Linked DNA regions of Arabidopsis thaliana. The protein of the gene in region 1 interacts with the protein of each later gene in a pairwise test. Each region holds a gene or a part of one and is shown on either strand. Other genes may lie near its edges.

Region 1 (10,195 bases):
GCATGTTTAATGGTAATTTAGGGCTAGGGACTATATAGTCTATATCTTACAGATGTAATATATTGATTACCAGGTACAGATCAAGAACTTGCGCTTAGCTGTCTATAGTTTGAGATGATAAATGAACTAAAAAAAATGCAAATGAATCATTAATCATCTTCATAAATAAAAATCATCTGTTAAGTGTAAACACAAACAATTCTTATTTTTTTTACCTAATGCGTTGGAAACAATCAAGAGAGCAAAATGATGATGTCAAAGAAAGAATGTGGACTGTAATGCTTTTGCCTTGTGATAAAGGTTCAATGGCTTATAACCTAACCACTGTCTATATCTTCTCCTTCAGAGTATGAACTGCCAGAACACCAAAGAAGATGAGAGACACAATTTTCGATTTGGATTAAACAGAGCGAGACAAAGATCATTGTCGAATTTAGGTTTAATAATACCAGAACAAATCATACATAACAGTAATGAGTAATCTCAAATTCTCAATCCCTCTGAAAGAACTAGACAACCTTAATATTCATCACCAATAAAGACACGATGACCAAGCAATAATTTGTACACTTGTAACAAACACTCTCTGAGACAGAACAAGTTTTGTGTATTAGCTAATCAGGTTTCATCATAGCTTGAATTCCAAACACATTGCAGCATCCATCACAAAAACTGATTATCAACCAATATCATCTAAAGACTAATATCTCAAGCAGAATTCTCTATAAGGTATCCACATATCAACATAGCTTCTCAATTCACTACGCGGTAATCTCTTCTTCCACGCATCAAGATCCGGTAAATCACCCGTTAAAGCTACCGAGCTATCATTCCCATTCCCAAGCGTTAGAACAAATAGCTTATCTCCAAAAACCTGACTCATCACTCTCAACGTTTCCTCCATAACCAAAGCTCCATCTCTATCTGAATCCTCAGCTTCCACACATTTACCTCCAACATTCACCATAATCCTCCCTCTATATCTCAACCTAGATTTCAAATCCTCCCACACTTGAGGATCTTGAAGCTCTTTGATCACACTCCCTTTACTAAACAAATCCACTAAAATACCCGAAAACCCGGTTTTAACACTAGCGTTCAAAGCATCACCAATGTTGATAAAAATCCTATCTTTATGATCTCTTTCGAGCTTAGAGAGACCAAAGAACTCTCTACCAACGTCAATCACGGAAGGGTCAAGTTCCCATCCATGGACAGCGATCTCAGGAGGATAAAGCTCAAGAATCAATCTAGCTGTTGAACCAGCTCCGAATCCGAGAATACCAATTGGTCCGGGAGGTATAATCGGAGGCAGAGTAGCGAAAACGTCGAAGTAACTATCGGTTAAGGTTTTAAGAAGGAAAGAGATGCTATGGATGTTACCGGGATTATCGAGAAGGAGGAGACGAGAACCAGCGAGTGGGTGATTGGTTTTTCGTGAAACTTCGATGACTCTGATGTAATTGTGACGGGATTTGAATTTGGCGATGGTTTTGACGTCCTCTGCTGGGATTCCGTTATCGTCGGCGGAAGTTTTGTTGCGGTGAGAGTCGGTTCGGATAAAGATTGGATTTTGCGGAGGTTTTGGCCGGAGATTGAGAGTTAAAGGAGGAGAAGAGAGGTTTAGAAATTGACGAGAAATGTGAAGTGGAGGTCGGAGGTATTGAAGAGACACAAGCTCCCTGGCCATGCCTGTTCTTAGTTACCGGGAAAATTTCGATGAATTTGGGTGATGATGAGACTTCAGTGGTTTGTTTAAATCCGTTCGGTTTAGTAACAGCTTCAATGGTTTAATTTTAGGGTCTATTGCAATCGGTTTTCTTCGGTTTGGTAACAACAACTTCGGAGAAAGTAAAAAAAAAAGAAGAAGTAAAAGCCCATATTTTTTTTAAAAAGTTTCTTTGCATTTTTCACATATTCTGATTTTCTAACTTGGGCCAAAATACTAGTCAGTTGTCACTGTTCTAATCAATGCAGCGTTTTCACAGAACTCAAAAGGTTGCTGAAAAAACATCAAAGAATCATTCATTCCCCTAACTTGTTTCTTAAATCTGCCGACATTATCATATGGCAAAAGAGACACCAAACCATCAAGCTGGTTTAAGACGATGGAGGATTCACGTCTGGCTCTGGGTTATCGTCATCCATTTCATCTTCACCGGTAGAGTCCCTGTAGATTTTAAGAGACATCAATTAAATTATTTATCTCCTGTTAAGAAGTTAGACAATGAGGATCAATTCAAGTGTTGGTAGATTTGAGTAGGAGGAAGGTTTTTAATTACCTGTCCGTAGTTGCGCCACCACGACATGAGTAACCATGAAGAGGTTTATCATCATCGTCACTGTCTGATTCATAAGTCGCAGTTCCACTCCAGATGCGAGGTTTTGGTCTTGTCTCCATGTCATCTTCCGGCTAAGGATTTGAGATAGCAGATTTAATAAGTTGGTAGTCAATAGGACAGAACGCAACTAAAAACATCAAAGAGAGAAATGGATGACTGAAAAATTACCTCGTCCAAAACTCGATTGACTGGTGGTGTGTGCTGAAACTGGACGCTAGGTGCGTGTATTAGTCCCGAAAGTTGTTCCAGCAACGTGTTCCTGAAATTTCAAAAAGTAACTTTCTCTAAGTTCAATATATCCCATTGACAAGGCTAAGAAGGTAAGCTACTGAACATGTAAAGCTTTCGTTAACTATTTGGAACCGGCACAAAGATAAACTCATATGTTACATACAGAATTACAATCTCGAGGGAGCATCATTAGCATGTTAAAATTACTAAATTAGAGTGGACTAGCTAGAAGTTCAGTGGCAACTGAAGTACAATGACCATAAAAATGGAAAGTAGGAGATATTACCTTATCCTCTCCATATCTTTGGGCGTGTTTAAATTCTCCATAGGACTTGGGTCGACATGAAGCGTATAATCTGGGCCGAAATACTCAAAATACTCATTGTAAGGGAGTTTGTTGTCCGGCTCTACTCCAACAGCAACTGCAGTCTGCGATGAGGCAACAGAAACAAACACTTTCAAGAACAAAAACCTATATGATTATCAAAAAACATAGAAGAACTGCAAAGGAGATGGAAAAGACCTCATAACACCAGCAACGGGCAACATTTCGAATAGTATACCCTCCACCACCCAACACCATGAGAGGAACGTTGTAAGATCTTAAGAACCGAAGGCAATCAGCGTGACCCTTGACTGATAAGTTGAAGCAACCCAACCGATCACCACTTAAGGAGTCAGCACCACACTGAAGAACAACTGCCTCTGGCTGATACACTTCCATAACCTTCTGGATAAGAGGTCTAAACAAGCTGCGGAAACTTTCATCGTCCATACCATCGTTTAGTGGAACATTTAGAGCATAGTATTTCCCTTTTTCAGCGCCAACATCTCTTATGTGACCAGTTCCTGGGAAAAAGTCCCCAAATTTGTGGAAAGAAACAGTCATAACTCTATCAGTGGTGTAAAACGCTTCTTCCACTCCATCTCCATGGTGGACATCAATATCTATGTAGAGAACCCGCTGCAAACAAAATTTGATGAAAGCATTAAGATGTAAGCAATGGAAACATCGTTCCACACTCAATCAACATTTTGAATGATGCTATCAGAATACATTAACAAAGCAACGGAATCCTAATTAGAGAAACTTAAAGAACCAGACGATGAAAACAAAGAGGCAATGTAGAAAACCATTCTCAAACAAATCAACATCCTTATCAGAAACACCTGATGCACTTGACCTAACATGAGATTCTAAAGGTAATATGCAGTTTAGGAACATGAAAGGATCAAAGCTCATTCGATAATCACACAAGGCTTCAAGGTTTCAGGTAGATTTAAGAAAAACCACTCAAGATAAGCTTAAACCCTAAAAATTTCAGAAGAACATGAAGAAGTTCTCTATGATGAGATCATAAAGAAGGAATGGAGCATTTACCTTAAACATCTTGAGCAACTCCAGAATCCCTAGCACGATGTCGTTTACATAGCAAAACCCAGAAGCCTCGCTTTTCTTAGCATGGTGAAGCCCACCGCCCCAATTGATAGCGATATCAGCGTCCTGTCTGTTTAATTTGACGGCAGCACCAATAGAACCTCCGGCGGAAGCACGGCAAAAATCAAAAAGTCCGTCGAAGACAGGACAATCCTCACCGACATTGAATCGCCTTAGGTTTCGTGCAGCGGAAGGATCGCCCATAGATTCCGGCGAAACGGAAGCGAGGAAGTCAACATACTCCGGCGAATGGAATCGGCCGATATCGGAGGCGTCAGCGAGGCTAGGGCGACTGATTTCTAAGCGACGGTGGAGGTGATAGTGAATGATTAGGCTATGAGCCATACGGATCCGGTGAGGCTTCATCGGGTGGCCTTGACCGTAGTAGTAGTCTCCGATCGTCGGCTCGTAGAAGTAACTGACTCGCCGCTTACGTCCGTCGGGTCCCGACGGCAGAGAGATGCCGCTTTCGTCTGCCTCCATCTCCGTCTCTCACTCAGAATCTCTCTCTCACTCAGAGTCTCTCTCTATTCCCAAGTTTTACTCAGAGCAAAATTTGTGTCAACAATGCCTGAGAAAGTCATTACTAGGAGTTGTGGGCACAGCTTATATATACACGCACATTAATGATTACTTACATTATTATCTTTGCGTTAAAAATTTAATTTTAATAATTACTGAATGTTAAACTAACGATCGATTATATAATTCCAAATTCGATTCAAACATAGCGAATTATTTTTAACTTGTTTTCCTAATGGTAGACAATGTTAGACAAATAAATGTAAAGGGTTTTTTAGCTAAGTATGATCTATTTACACATTTCACCTTAAGGATTCGTAACTAGATGTTGTTGGGAAAAAAGAGAAGATATACATGTTCTAGATGTTATAGATGCTTACATTTGTCTAAATTCTATTCGCAATACTTGAATCTCCCAACCTAATAATCCACATCCGATTTTTAAAAACAAGTTTCATTACAGTGTTACGGTTGACTTGAGAGTAAAGTAGTAAAGTGTATTTAGTTGATAGAATTAAGAAAAAGGCAAAATGTTTAGAAATATCATGAAGAAGAAGAAGAAGAAGCAGCGAAATCAGCTAAATAGTTATATAGTAAATGTTTGTTCTCTACGACAAAGAACTTCTAGTCGAAACCAAACGCTGATCATCATCATCATAATTAAAGGTTTTCTCATAGAATCAAAATGATGGGATTCTCTTTACCAAGTCCTCTTTCCACCGTGAGGTACAAAGTTTGAAGTCGATCTTGACCGTTTATCTCCAAACCCACCACCACGTCCTCCTCCTCTTGGCCTGAAGTTTCTTCCACCACCTGAACCTGAACAAATCAACAAAATTGAATCAGATCCTCGTACCAAAATTTAGCAAGATTGATTGAACTCATCAAATGAGAGAAGAGAAATGAGGTTTCACCTCCATAACCAGAACCAGATGATCGGACTAGTGCGGAGAGAGTAGGAGGTACAACTTGACCAGCTTCTTGAAGGATCTTGACAAGCTCTCTCGCAAACTTAGCATTGTCATGTGTGAAGAATGTAAAGGCCATTCCTTTAGCTCCTGCACGCCCGGTTCGACCAATCCTATGGATGTAATCCTCCAATGTATTTGGGAAATCATAATTAACCACACATTTAATGTCCTTCACATCTGTAAAACAAAACAAAAGAAGAAAGAAGGAACACAGTTGAGAAGTAAATCATAGACTGAGATGAAATGCAGGAAGAAGAACAGAAATTTCTTTGTGTAAATGAGTTTGGTGTTTAAAGCCTAGCTAAGGAGAGGATAGAGAACAAGAACCCCTTATCCCTACAACTGCAGATCTGGAAAGATCAAGAAACTAAGAGCAACACATTTTTCCCAAGTAAATGTGCCCACCTTAACTTGCAGGGATAAGGAGTGTTTGGGACGGCGTTATAACACTATTAATGCATGCAGGTGTCAGTCGCCCAGGCTGCTCAAAAACCAATCAGCTCCATGCCCGGGAGATGGATGCAGGAAACAAATTCTTCAAAGAAGCTCCTTTTTTCTTTCTATGTGCTTTTTTCCCTAATACCAGAGGAAACTGTGGAAAGCGGCAGCCAGGCGACTTTTTTTATTATCTTTAAAACCCCAAGAAAACGAAATGCTCTAAGTATAATCTCTCCTATTGTGTATCACAGTTAATCCTACCAAGTCCCCTTGCTGCTACATCAGTGGCAGTCATTATCGGGCTTCGTCCACTCTTAAATTCTGCCAAGACTCGGTCTCTTTCCGATTGGGTCTTGTCACCATGTATGGCAAGAGCTGGCCATCCGTCCATTCTCAATTGTCTAGTCACTTGATCACACCCTCTCTTTGTCTCCACAAAAATTAGGATTTTACTCCCATCCATTAACTGTTTAAGTAGTGTAAGGAGCCTATCAAACGAGAAAAAAGGCATAAGTATCATATCATATAAGAAGGCAAATAAATATATATATAAATCGTTTCTTATCTAATGACAGAAAAATTAAGAACCTGTTGTATTTCTCTGGCGTCGGTACAATCTCGATTACTTGGTTAATAGACTGGTTAGCTTTTAGATCTGTTGATCCAATAATGGCCTACAAAATAACAACTGTTTTCAGTGCACAACATAAAACATCCCCTACTTTATTCAACAACAGTATACTCAATCCTAATAAGTTAAACTAAATAGCAAGTAAACCTTATATGGATCTCGTAGAAACTGCCTGGCAAGAGTTTCAACCTCTCGTGGCCATGTTGCACTCCAAAGAAGTGTTTGTCTATCAGGTCGGATCTGTGAAAAATAAGGAACAATCTCAAGTTCTGAACAAAAGCCGTGATGGTTCTTATTTAGCAACAGAACAATAAACTGGGAAGATAAAATCTATCGACTAATAATGTTGGTCAACCACCCTTTCCTTAAAGACACTACATGATAGCTTTGGAGAAAGTACAAACATACCTGAGATACAATCTTTCTAATTTGGGGTTCAAATCCCATGTCTAACATTCTGTCAGCCTCATCCAGTACAAGGTAAGTCACTCTCTTCAAATTAGTGTGTTGACATTCCAACATATCAATCAAACGACCAGGTGTAGCAATTACAATCTCAACACCTGACAAGCCAATCATGATTCATAAACTTTGATGTTCCATCCAAGAACCAGACATGAAAACTACACTATTAAAAAATAAAATACCTCTTCTAAGATCACGAATCTGAGGTCCTTTAGGAGCACCACCATAGATACAAGTACTTCTAACACCAGACCTCAACCCGAATTTCCTTGATTCCTCTTGAATCTGAACAGCTAGTTCTCTTGTGGGAGCTAATATTAACACAATGGGGCCATCATCCTGACCTATATTACACCCCAACAATGCAAATAAAAAAGTTGCCGGAAAAATGAATGCAGCTTAAATCAGAATATCACATAGTGCTGTAATACTCACCTAATCGAGGTTGTGCACTAACGTGAACCAATGCTGGTAACAAGTAAGCCAATGTCTTACCAGAGCCAGTCTCAGCAATACCAATCAAATCCCTACCCTTCAACGCCATCGGCCATCCCTGAGCTTGTATAGGTGTTGGCTCAGTAAATCCCAATTTAGCAATTGCTTCAAGAATGTTATCTAACAGATAAAAGGAACCATTAAACTAAGAACCCAAATTAGATATAAATGAACTGGAAACTCTATGACCAATCCAATCAAAATACCTGGAAAGTTAGCATCTTGGAACATCTTCATCGGCTTAGGAACATCACGACCTTCAACGGATATATCCCTCTCGGTTCTGTACATTGCAACATCCTGCTCTGTCATAGCTTGCACAGTGGGACTCTCCACATAGAAATTCTTCTCAAAATGTACAAGATTCCCAAAATTCTGCTTCGGAAGAGAAACACTATCTAGCTCTCTTTTACTCGATCCGCCACGTCCTCCTCCTCCTCCCCAATTCCCTCCGCCGTTTCTATCGCCGTATTGACCATATCCACCTCTTCCACCACCGCGGCCAACAGAGAAACCGCCACTAGGTGGCTGGAAAGATGGGTACCGATTATAGCCGGAATTATCACCGGCCATTACCGGAGATGGTCCATATCCTCCACCACCACCAGTGTACCGTGGGTTGTATGGTGCGGCGGAAGGATCCATCGGCTGAGACGAACCAACTGGGGCGCTAAAGTAACACAGAGAAGATAAGTGTTACAGATCGAAGGAAACAAAAACGAAGAAATTGGTCGATTGGTTTCACTTACCCAGAGCGTTGGCGATACGAATTTGGATCAGCAAATCTACGATCATACGAGCTCATTGTAACTTAAGATGGTTATGGTTTTTGATCTCTCGCTCTCTCGCGTAAATTCTACTACGTAACCTTGGAAACGAATTGATGCTACAGAAGGAAGATAGTGCAAGGAAGACGACGAAAAGCCGCAAAAGGAACAAAAAGCTTAGATTTTTTTTTTGATTCGTTTTGGACAGTAAAATTCCCAAATTAGTAACCCTAATTTGTCCCACCATTTTTCTGTTCTTTTTATTGCGCGAATTTAATTAATTTCCTTTATTTTGTTGGTAATCAGATATGGGCCATGACTAACCACTTAATGGGCTACAAATTGGACCCAAACAATTGTTTAACTTAAATTATTGGAGGTTTTGTGATGGGGGAGTCTATTGCTTTAAACATTTTGCCAACAGTGTCGAATCAAATTTGGAAAATCTTAAAGTTGCGATGGGATTTTTCAGACATACCATCTCATGAGTCATGTGACTACACCAATCCTAGTCATAATACATATTTTCTGGAATAATACCATATACTGTATGTTATTTTCTAACTAGTGAAAAAGTATACATTTGACTTGACCCATAATGCACAGTATTTATAAAATCGAATCATTAACATTACATGGCCATAAGGTCATACTTGACATATTTATAATTTCAAACATAATAATGTTCTTGCAGCAAAAAAAATAATAAAAAAACAAAATCATGTTCAGAGCAATCAGTAAAATTGATGGTAATTAACAATAACATTAACATGGAAGAGACTGCCAAGAGGAAGGTACAAATCAGATTCAGCATTCAATATTTGATTAAAATTTTATGACTAGTTTTCTTTGATGACCAAACGTCTATAATGATGAGCGACTTTTAAGAAAGAAGATTTCTTCAAAATGGAATCAATTAAACAAAAGAATATTCCATTGTTGGAAATAACAGAATTGTCCAAAATGCCCATAGAAGATCCAAGGAATTTTCTATTTGCCCATACGCGTAATATCCCACCATGACATCACTCCTTCCCTATAAAACCCATCCATCTGCAACCTTTCTTCTTGGTTTAAGACACCAAAAACAAACACTCAATTATAAAAAGCTTCCCTCTTCTCTCCCAAATCTTCAAAAATTCAAAAAAAACTAACAATGGTAGCCGTTGATTATACCGAGAAGAACAGTGGAAGCAGTCTCAAGTTTCTATGCAGTTACGGTGGCAGAATCCTCCCTCGCTCCACCGACGGCAAGCTCCGTTACGTCGGAGGTCACACCAGAGTCCTCTCCGTTGATCGTTCTATCTCTTTCTCAGGTTCGTCTCCACTTCAATTTCGTATTGAAATCGATTCTATTTCCGATTTCGCCGAATCTGAGATTGATTTTTTAATTTTGTTTCTCCAGAGCTGATGAAGAAACTCTATGAATTCTGTGGATACTCCGTTGATTTACGATGTCAATTACCAAACGGAGATCTCGAGACTCTAATCTCCGTCAAATCAGAAGAAGAACTAGCGGAGATCGTTGAAGAGTACGATCGCATCTGCGGAGCCAAGATCCGTGCCGTTCTATCACCTCCGAGATCTTCGCATAAGACCGAATCTTCGCCGTCTTCAAGCGGTGATCGATCTCCAAAATCGCCGTTCTCCGTCACGCCTTCACCGCCAAATTCTCCGTCGCCGGCGTATGGAAGATATCTACAATCTCGGTATTGTTTACCTTCCACGGATCTTCCTCCGAGAAGATACATTCAGAGAGCGGAAGAATCGCATTGCTGCTATGCGTGTCGTGTACACAAAGACTCTAGGCTCGTTTGGCATTGACGGAGATTGGGGAAATAATCGAATATACGCCATAGATACGAATACCATGATAATGACGAAGAAGACGCAAT
Region 2 (10,195 bases), on another chromosome or scaffold:
GGACATGCAAGTTATGGGAGCTTGTCGAGGTGATGAGAGATTGAAGCCGTTGTTGAAGCTTAACGTTTCTAATGGAATGGCTGAAGATCGATTGCTTGCGCATCTTAGCCAGGTTTGAATAGTTTCTGAATTCGATGATTTTGGTTTCCATTTTTGTTGAGATAATAATACTGATTTCTTGTTTATTGAATAGCACTTCGAGCCTGCGGAAATTGGTATGCTGGCTAGATGTTTTTGCATACCTCTGGTTTCGGTTCGCGTCGGGAAGATTATAAAGGAAGGGATTCTAATGCGCCCCACTCCCATAAGGTAATCAATGAGTCCTGTTTTTGTTATAATCGTGTTAATTGCTATTTTCTTTGTTCGCTCTTTGTTGTCTTAGAGATTTGTGAATTATAGCTCTCTAGTTAGGTTTTGTTGTCTTTGAAGACGGTTCTTATGTTAGAGATGTAGCATAGCATATACCAGAATGTTAATTAATGGTTTGTGTGTAATCTGTCATTGATTAGGCGATTTTATGAATGCTTGTTCAATTGCAGGCTGATTATCTGAATCAGTAGTGATTTTGAAATCATCTGCTGATACAAAGTAAGTTTTTTGGGTGCACACATACAATTCCTGCTTTAGTTTTATTGATACTCTCTCGCTGAGTTTCTCCATGTTTGGTCTCATTTTATCAAATACTATACCTATTTTCATATGAATGGTTGTATCTCTGTTTTACTGACCTTTTGCAGTTCTTTATGTGCTAACACTTTGGAGGTTGGGGTATTACATAGTCTTAGTTCATATGGTTAGTTATGTTTGTATCAATGTATATCTAGCTTTCAGTAATAAGGTCTATCCATAATTTGCGTTGGTTTAGTTAAAATTTTAGAAATCATAGGATCTCAATCAGTCGTATAGTGATACTGTTCATGCTTCCAAATAAAATGTATCTTTTATTGTAGGTAATGTGGGCGTAATCTGTTATGATCTCTGGTAGATGATGAAGTAAAGGTAGTTTCATCACCAATGTTGTGTAGTATGTTCTTGATTTCTAGTCATATAGGGCTTTAATTTTCTCTCTGTTTTGTCATAACATCACTGACTATATATCCTTCTTAATCACTTTATATTATCTCGCTATGGCTTTCATTGAATGGTATTTTTTTTGTAAATTTAAGCTTTTTGTTTTCTCATCGTTACTACTTATTTGATTTAAAAGGTCTTTTGTGTGTTCTGGTGGTACTATTCTGTTCAAACTTATTACAATGGATCTATATAAAGTTCGTTTCAGGAAGCTCTTAGATAATCATGTTATCATCTTTTTTTGTTCTAGCTTCTAAGTTGCAGGTCCCTATGCTAAGTTATGAATAATGTAGTTTCAGTTAAGCTAAGCCACAGTCTTAAAAAGTGTCAAGTACCAAATTATTGAACATAATGTTTATTCCGGCAGTACCCTATGTTTTGTGAATATTAGTAATAGGCTAATAACATAGCTGTTCTGTAAACAGTTCTGCATGTTTATCTGGTAGATTCTTTTGATGTAGTTTGAATTAAGGGTAACTTGCAAGCATTTAAAAGCTCTTGGACTTGATCCAACTTCTGGTTTTCAGCATCTAGTGTTTATTTGTTAGTGCTTTTGATTTTGATATTAGAGTGTTTTTCCGACTGATTTCTTGACGTTTTATCTCCTATTGGTCAGGGGTAACCTGAGCCTTATGGTCTTGCCAACATCTGACTTGAGACTCTCATTTATTGGAGACAATGGTCATTCAGAACAACTCTTTACCTATACCAGCAAATCTCAGTGCTCTGCGGTGTCAATTGAGGAGATAACTGTGGACAGCTCTGGTAGATCTTTTGTTATAAGGATCGCAAATGGCAATGCTTTTTACTATTGGTGCTCAGAGAAGTCAAAACTTCTGGGAACTGAATTGCGTAGGAAGGTTTGTGAAATAGTGTTGTTTTAAAATCCTTGTCTGTGCATCTAAATTTTCTCATCATCTGTTGTTATCCTGTGTAGATGAAAGACTTGATCAAGAAGAAGCCATCAATCTCAGAATTAACTGGAATTGAAGAATCACGTCTTGGCTCTGTTGCTTCTCATCTCCGTTTGTATCTCATGGGTTCAGTGGTGCCTAACATCAAAGGTTGTCAGGTCCCATCTCCTGATTCATCATCATCTTCTGGCTTTTCTGAAACAGCTGATTCCTCCTCGAGTGCATCATCAAAATCTCTTAGAGCACGCCACTGTGGGACTCAACAGACAAAGACCCAAGGAAGCCTCAGCCCTAGAGCAAGCTCCTTCAAAGAAAACACACTGAGAAATGCTTCTCTACGTATCTCCTCTAGAGATAAATCAAAGGGACACAGTGAAGGCCATTTCTCAATCTTTGATAATTCATCCATTACCTCTATCCCCACCAATGTAGAGGGTTTTATCCAGTCAGAAGGAGAAGTTGAAGAAGCTACTGAGAATTATAATGGAATCAGACAAATTATTGCTTTTGAAGAAGCAGAGTCAACACCAAGTACAATGACCGGACCTCCCCCATTTCCTTTGAAGATGGGTCCACCAGTCTTTTCTCCTTATTATTGCTGGTGCCCTCCAACCACTTCATCGCTTCACGCACCATCTGCCTCTTATCAGTTCCCTCCACTATCCATTGAGCTACCTTCCCTTCCGCCACTTTCCTCCTTATTACCAGCATCGGGATCAGATGGATTCTTGATCCCGTCATCACCGCTCGATCTCTCTGACATCCCTCCATTACCATTAGTCCACCACATACCCATTCCAGGCTCATCATCATCATCATCCCAGCAACAGATGATGATTCCTATAATGTGCGACCCTATTGTTCATATTCCAGTTATCGATATCTTCTCTTCAGGTCAAAGCTATCTGGTAAGCGCTGGACCCACCGGGATAATATCCACGGGCATCCCTCCGCTCCCAGTGGAGAATGATTCGCTGGTCGAGAAAGGTGCAAGAGAAACACTACGATTGCTCATAAGCGGAGCCAATGCAACAACATCTACACCTTTGAACCATCATGGAAGCAGAGGTCTATACAGTGTGAGCCGGGATGTGAGTGGTGTGAGCTTGTTTGCACCTATTGGGTTGCAACAACCGAGTTCAGTTGAGGGAGGAGATGGTGGTGGTGAGAGTGTGAGCTCAAGCGAAGCAGTGCCTGCGCCTCCCAGAGAGACTTCTGGTTAATTTTTTTGGTTCTTTGTAAGTGTGGTCCGAGTTAAGTGTATAGAAAACTCATCTCTCGCCTAGTTTTTGGTTTTGTTCAGCCCAAGTCTTTTGGTTTCAGGTGTAATTAGTCGGGTTTTTTGTAGCTTGCTTATATTACCTTTGTTATTTCCGAGTTTCAAATGAAGCTAAGAAATACGATCATAATAAAAAAGTTCTTTTGCAGTATTCATTTTCTTTCATGGTTCCCTCCTTATTCATAGTCATTGTTGTTCTTTCTAATACTTTTCCTGAGCTTTTTTTTTCTATTGGAAAAACTTTTGTCACTGAAAGAAATTTCAATGTGATTGGTTCTTTTCGCAACTGTAATAAGCACTAAAAGTTAATAATTTGCTGCTTTTTAAGTCTTGTTGCTGAATGATTTAATCCCAAAGACGTTAAAAAAAAGACATGTAAATAGTCTTTGTTCCAAAAGTACCATTTTGAGCGCTTTCTTTCGACAATTGATGTTGAACTTGTACCAAATAAACCTTGAAAATCATACATCATTAAATGTAGTTTTTTGTTATATACTTATATTCATATGGTCCATAATATATAGTTAACCATATTATGGACCATATAAATTCATGCAGTCAACAACTTTTTTTTTCCTCATTAAAAGCTACTAATACTGTAGAAAATTTTTATCTTACAAAAGAAAGGAGAATTATTGTATTTTTATTTTAATCACATATAAAGCAACCAAAGATAACATATACTAGTATTTAGTATTTTTAAATTTTTTGCTTAGGATTCAGGTTATTAATACTCTATAAAGAAATAATTAAATCTATCCATCGAATAAATCACACAGCTTATTGGATCAGTTAAATATTCTAATAATATTGTCGTGTAGCTGAGATCTGACCACTGCAAAAATGAAAAGAAAAACATAGAAGTAGAGAGAAGATCGCATCTCGACCGTCAACTTCAGTGTATGAAATAATGATCGTCCCACTTGATCCTCAAAAATATTATTAACCAAACAAAATTTGATTCCATCGTCCCACTTTCTTCTTCTTCCTCCCAATCCGCCTCTTCTTCCTACGCGTGTCTTCTTCTCCCTCACTCTCTCAATCTCTAGTCTTCTCCGATTCACCGGATCTTTCCTTTCTTACTTCTTTCTTCTCACTCTGGTGGTTATGTGTGGATCTGCGACCTCGATTTCAATTCGAAGTCGTCGGTTTCTTCTCTAAATCGAATCTTTCCAGGATTCGTTTGTTTTTTTCTTTTGTTTTTTTTTCGATCCGATGGAGGATCCTGATATCAAGAGGTGTAAATTGAGCTGCGTCGCGACGGTTGATGATGTCATCGAGCAAGTCATGACCTATATAACTGACCCGAAAGATCGCGATTCGGCTTCTTTGGTGTGTCGGAGATGGTTCAAGATTGATTCCGAGACGAGAGAGCATGTGACTATGGCGCTTTGCTACACTGCGACGCCTGATCGTCTTAGCCGTCGATTCCCGAACTTGAGGTCGCTCAAGCTTAAAGGCAAGCCTAGAGCAGCTATGTTTAATCTGATCCCTGAGAACTGGGGAGGTTATGTTACTCCTTGGGTTACTGAGATTTCTAACAACCTTAGGCAGCTCAAATCGGTGCACTTCCGACGGATGATTGTCAGTGACTTAGATCTAGATCGTTTAGCTAAAGCTAGAGCAGATGATCTTGAGACTTTGAAGCTAGACAAGTGTTCTGGTTTTACTACTGATGGACTTTTGAGCATCGTTACACACTGCAGGTACACTTACTTCTCAGTATCTTGTAGCTACTTTGGCTCGATGCTTTTGAGGTTTAGCGACTCCTTATCATTTCCTACTTTGACTAGAACTCTAGATGCATTTGGCTCTTTTTAAAAAACTTAATAAGTCGTCGTTGTACAAAGAACCATATCTTGAGTTTGTGTTTGTAAAGATTTGATCTTCTTTAGCTCAATTGGGTAAGTTGTAACTTTGGTGGATACTTTTTGTCCTTAATGAAATTGGTGAACCTTACTTCATTTGATTTCTTAGTACACTTTACACTAAGAGTAATATAAGCAGAAACATTTATTTCAGAAAGTTTCAGTATTTAGGCGTTCATGTTTGTCTTATATCCTTAATTGCTTTGCAACTGTTATGCTTGCTATTAAAGCAGAAATTGCAATGATCTTCAGTTATTTCTCAATTGGGGAAGTATAAACTTTGATCCGGATTTTATCTACAACCAATTTTTTCCCTCTTTGGGGAACATTCACTTTGTTTATGCATAAATAGCAAAAAGATTGATTTCTGACATCTTCAGTCTGCCAGAGTTTATGTGTATTATTTGGTTTTTGAATCCTTGATTCGGCTGCTGCTGTTCTTCATATTCAGTTTTAGCGGGAAATCCAAATATCTTGAGTTGTTTCTCACTTTATTCATGCAACTGTCTGTTGTCTTGTCCAGGAAAATAAAAACTTTGTTAATGGAAGAGAGTTCTTTTAGTGAAAAGGATGGTAAGTGGCTTCATGAGCTTGCTCAGCACAACACATCTCTTGAGGTTTTAAACTTCTACATGACGGAGTTTGCCAAAATCAGTCCCAAAGACTTGGAAACCATAGCTAGAAATTGCCGCTCTCTGGTATCTGTGAAGGTCGGTGACTTTGAGATTTTGGAACTAGTTGGGTTCTTTAAGGCTGCAGCTAATCTTGAAGAATTTTGTGGTGGCTCCTTGAATGAGGATATTGGAATGCCTGAGAAGTACATGAATCTGGTTTTTCCCCGAAAACTATGTCGGCTTGGTCTCTCTTACATGGGACCTAATGAAATGCCAATACTATTTCCATTCGCGGCCCAAATCCGAAAGCTGGATTTGCTTTATGCATTGCTAGAAACTGAAGACCATTGTACGCTTATCCAAAAGTGTCCTAATTTGGAAGTTCTCGAGGTAAACGTTTAACTTTGCTGTCTTTACTACATACTTGGGAATGCGTCCTTAGTACTAAATTGTGTTCCTATTTTTTCACGAAATATTTGGGGAGATAAGGGATATGAATGCAATATTGGTTCTCTTTAGTCTTTACATCTATATAAGACTGACAACACTTGTTGTTTTTCTTCAGACAAGGAATGTAATCGGAGATAGGGGTCTAGAGGTCCTTGCACAGTACTGTAAGCAGTTGAAGCGGCTGAGGATTGAACGCGGTGCAGATGAACAAGGAATGGAGGACGAAGAAGGCTTAGTCTCACAAAGAGGATTAATCGCTTTGGCTCAGGGCTGCCAGGAGCTAGAATACATGGCGGTGTATGTCTCAGATATAACTAACGAATCTCTTGAAAGCATAGGCACATATCTGAAAAACCTCTGTGACTTCCGCCTTGTCTTACTCGACCGGGAAGAAAGGATTACAGATCTGCCACTGGACAACGGAGTCCGATCTCTTTTGATTGGATGCAAGAAACTCAGACGATTTGCATTCTATCTGAGACAAGGCGGCTTAACCGACTTGGGCTTAAGCTACATCGGACAGTACAGTCCAAACGTGAGATGGATGCTGCTGGGTTACGTAGGTGAATCAGATGAAGGTTTAATGGAATTCTCAAGAGGCTGTCCAAATCTACAGAAGCTAGAGATGAGAGGTTGTTGCTTCAGTGAGCGAGCAATCGCTGCAGCGGTTACAAAATTGCCTTCACTGAGATACTTGTGGGTACAAGGTTACAGAGCATCGATGACGGGACAAGATCTAATGCAGATGGCTAGACCGTACTGGAACATCGAGCTGATTCCATCAAGAAGAGTCCCGGAAGTGAATCAACAAGGAGAGATAAGAGAGATGGAGCATCCGGCTCATATATTGGCTTACTACTCTCTGGCTGGCCAGAGAACAGATTGTCCAACAACTGTTAGAGTCCTGAAGGAGCCAATATGATATGACCCAAAAAACAGGTTTGTATATAAAGATTTTTAGTCTCGAGTTTTGGGGTTTCCACAAACTGTGTACTATACTACTTTGGTTCTTTTTTTGTTTCATGTTGTGTCGTCGATGTTTTTGGGAGATTACATAGAGTCAGTCTTGTTTGTTGTATGGTCATTACTTCTTTATTTTTCCTCAGGGGTCTGTTTACTTTAATTTCTTTAATAAAACCCCGAAGATTTTGAGAGATTTCTTTATCGTCCATGGTGTTGACTTCTGAGAGCTATATTTGTTTGGATTGGCATCTGAAACTTTATTTGTGGTTGTGATTGTTTTGATAACATTAGTAAAAAGGCAAATAATAGAGTACTAATAATCATTTATAACTTTATAGATGAAAACTTTGATTTCTTGTTCTTACACGAATTCTGAAAACGATGTAACAAGCTTTTGATTGGATTAACAGACGATAAAGGAATCTATTAACAATGAGTGGGCATATCTGAAGCCGACCAAAGGTACCCCATTCAGATTCTTCTAACCATAAAAGGAACCTTTACTATAATACATTATATAGGTAACGAAATAGTTGTCTGTATATGCATCTCATTCACATTTGAGAAGATTCCTTCATATGTTGTGATTTTGTCTAATACGCTTTTGGAGGAATCACGCAAACTCAGGGGTCTTTAATTGGTGAAAGAAGGAGAATGATGGATGAGTAACTGAGCATTGGGTACACATTTGCATCTAAGAAGTGCCTATACTGCTTCATCGCCGTTTCTCTCTCTGGGAGATCCGGTGTTATGCAGTCGTAAGGGCTCGGTTTGCTCGTGTCTACAAATGGCTCCCATCGGTATCCTGGCCTATTCGGTAGCGAAACAAGTGTGGCTAAATGACTGGTGTTGAAGGCCACATAGATTTCTTTCTTCACAGAATCGACCTACCGAAAAACAAAAGGGATTAATATCACCCACTAAGGAAACTGTCCATGTAAGAGAAGGGGTATGAGAAAATGGTACCAGTGAAAATGCAACAAATCGACTTGTTTCAGACCAATTTGGGATCTCAGGAGCAAGACCATGCCACTGCAGACGCTTTGCTGTTGGGAAATCATTCAAGCCAAGTGATTCACATTCACTACAATACAGTCATAATGGCCATCGATCAGAGGAAACCCGAGAAACAGGGGATTGCAAAAGAAAGAAAACACATAGCAGTAGGTGAAAAGGAAGAAGCATGTCAATTATTGGATTTGAGACTAAGTGAAGCGATCAACTAAGCAATTAAGATCGATAGACTCATGAAAGAAGATTACATACTCACGAAACTTGATAAGAATACGGCAGAATCTGAAGAAGTCAGAATGTGCTTCTTCCTTTTTATCCCACCGAAAATAGTTCATCTGCATCAGAGTTGTGTTAATGTCGGAAAGCTAAGATCGAAAAAATTACTTATAATCACCCTGGAAGCAAAGCATAAGGGGTTTACATAGTTGTCATGGCAATACGTGTTGTTGTTTCCCCCTTTAGTATGGCCATATTCATCTCCCATGTAAATCATTGGGACACCCTGGTGATTAATAGTTCAGAAAGACAGAAAAGGAAAAGGTTAAGCAATACACTAATTTCAATGAAAACCGGAGCATCACAATCTGACAAAGCAGTACCCTTAATACATATTCTTTGCATGACACCATGCCATTACCAGTCACAACTTAACATGTTGCAAAGGCAAACAAACAGTGCATAGTACTTAATTGCTAGTGGATTTAGATTCTCTTGTGGCTTATTAATTTATATTTTGAACTCATGCCCTCTACTCCAGTATCATAGTTCAATGTGCATAACATCAGTGAAACGAGCTTTGAGCAGGAATTAAAATTAAAGAAGCAACAAATGGTTAGCTTTACTTGGGAAACCATGAGGGAAACAAAGAAATTCCGCATCTGTCGTTTCCTTAGTCTCTTCACCGAGATACTCGCAAAGTCTCCCTCCTGCAGCCCAATCAAATGAAGCCTTTTTAGTTTAGGTAAAAGTGCAATAGCCATTTCATTTCAGCTTATAAACATTCTACAAAAAGTCGTATGATATAATATGAGACTGAATTCACATAGCTGATGAAAGAGAAAACAAAGATTAATATCTTACCTCTCCACAGTTCCAGCTGTAATTGTGATTCTCTCCATCATTATTCTCTTCTCCATTTGCCAAGTTATTCTTATTGTTGTAAGTTACTAAATCTGCCAACGTAAAACCATCATGCGCACATATAAAATTGATGCTGTGCCAAGGTTTCCTACCTCCCTGATGCACAGACACAATCAGATATCGATAAGATATACAACCAAAATATGAAGCTTCACAGACAAAACAACCAAGAGAACACCATAAAGATTAGTTATATATCCAGATACCCCAGTATAATAGGAGTTAAATTTACCTGGTACAGATTTGGGCTTCCACAGAGACATTCAGCAAAAGCACCAGAAAAGCCATCGGTGCCTTTTATGAACTGTCTCACAACATCCCGAAACTGAAATGGACAAAAATGTTACTATACCATATCAAATTCACAACGAAGATAGATATCCAGCACAGTGCACACACTAATGGGAACTACCACGAGAACTGAATATTCATTATTGTTGTCTCATGTGTTGTCTATTGGATAGTAAGTTTAAGACTTCCATGTTCATTGCTAATACAGGCTAGTAGGTTACTATACACTTCAGTTAGCTAGTACAGGCAGATCACATAGGCTGTCCCATTTTCAATTGATTAGAGCATATTCTAAGGGTCAGCAGAAAGATGAATAACCACTAATAATTACATCACATTTGGCATGAAACCCTTATACACTGTGACACTTACTCTTCCATATCTCATGTCTCAAACAATTGAAAGAAGCATTTTATCCTCGTAATACATTAACTGACCTTTCCATTCCACTCAGACCAAATACCCCAGTGTGGAAACATGCCAACTTGGTACAGCCCACCCGCATCCCATGCTTCAGCTATTAGCTGTTTGCAAAGAAGCAACATAAACACATAAATATCTCATCGTCAAAGATCTTACATTGGTGAATGT

Evidence for each region.
Region 2: the proteins of HDA6 (region 1) and COI1 interact in binary tests that used the Arabidopsis thaliana proteins (3 or more experiments, as listed by UniProt).

The regions. Positions count from the first base shown.
Region 1 is NC_003076.8:25,313,734-25,323,928, forward strand, and holds HDA6 (histone deacetylase 6), read right to left. Parts: upstream 4,615-10,195; 5' UTR 4,495-4,614; coding exon 3,955-4,494; intron 3,538-3,954; coding exon 3,097-3,537; intron 3,003-3,096; coding exon 2,860-3,002; intron 2,602-2,859; coding exon 2,511-2,601; intron 2,414-2,510; coding exon 2,283-2,413; intron 2,171-2,282; coding exon 2,101-2,170; 3' UTR 1,773-2,100; downstream 1-1,772. Other genes in the region: AT5G63100 (S-adenosyl-L-methionine-dependent methyltransferases superfamily protein), read right to left, coding at 701-1,690; AT5G63120 (P-loop containing nucleoside triphosphate hydrolases superfamily protein), read right to left, coding at 5,234-5,352, 5,448-5,681, 6,204-6,430, 6,531-6,616, 6,721-6,813, 6,982-7,136, 7,221-7,382, 7,474-7,653 and 2 more; AT5G63130 (Octicosapeptide/Phox/Bem1p family protein), read left to right, coding at 9,457-9,616, 9,706-10,124. UniProt on the Arabidopsis thaliana protein: Responsible for the deacetylation of lysine residues on the N-terminal part of the core histones (H2A, H2B, H3 and H4). Might remove acetyl residues only from specific targets, such as rDNA repeats or complex transgenes.
Region 2 is NC_003071.7:16,669,771-16,679,965, reverse strand, and holds COI1 (RNI-like superfamily protein), read left to right. Parts: upstream 1-4,101; 5' UTR 4,102-4,479; coding exon 4,480-4,970; intron 4,971-5,655; coding exon 5,656-6,136; intron 6,137-6,311; coding exon 6,312-7,118; 3' UTR 7,119-7,473; downstream 7,474-10,195. Other genes in the region: AT2G39950 (flocculation protein), read left to right, coding at 1-112, 194-309, 1,688-1,931, 2,009-3,208; ISA1 (isoamylase 1), read right to left, coding at 7,783-8,046, 8,126-8,243, 8,426-8,508, 8,595-8,675, 9,016-9,099, 9,254-9,409, 9,546-9,638, 10,042-10,128. UniProt on the Arabidopsis thaliana protein: Required for jasmonate-regulated plant fertility and defense processes, and for coronatine and/or other elicitors perceptions/responses. Seems to not be required for meiosis. Required for the regulation of some genes induced by wounding, but not for all.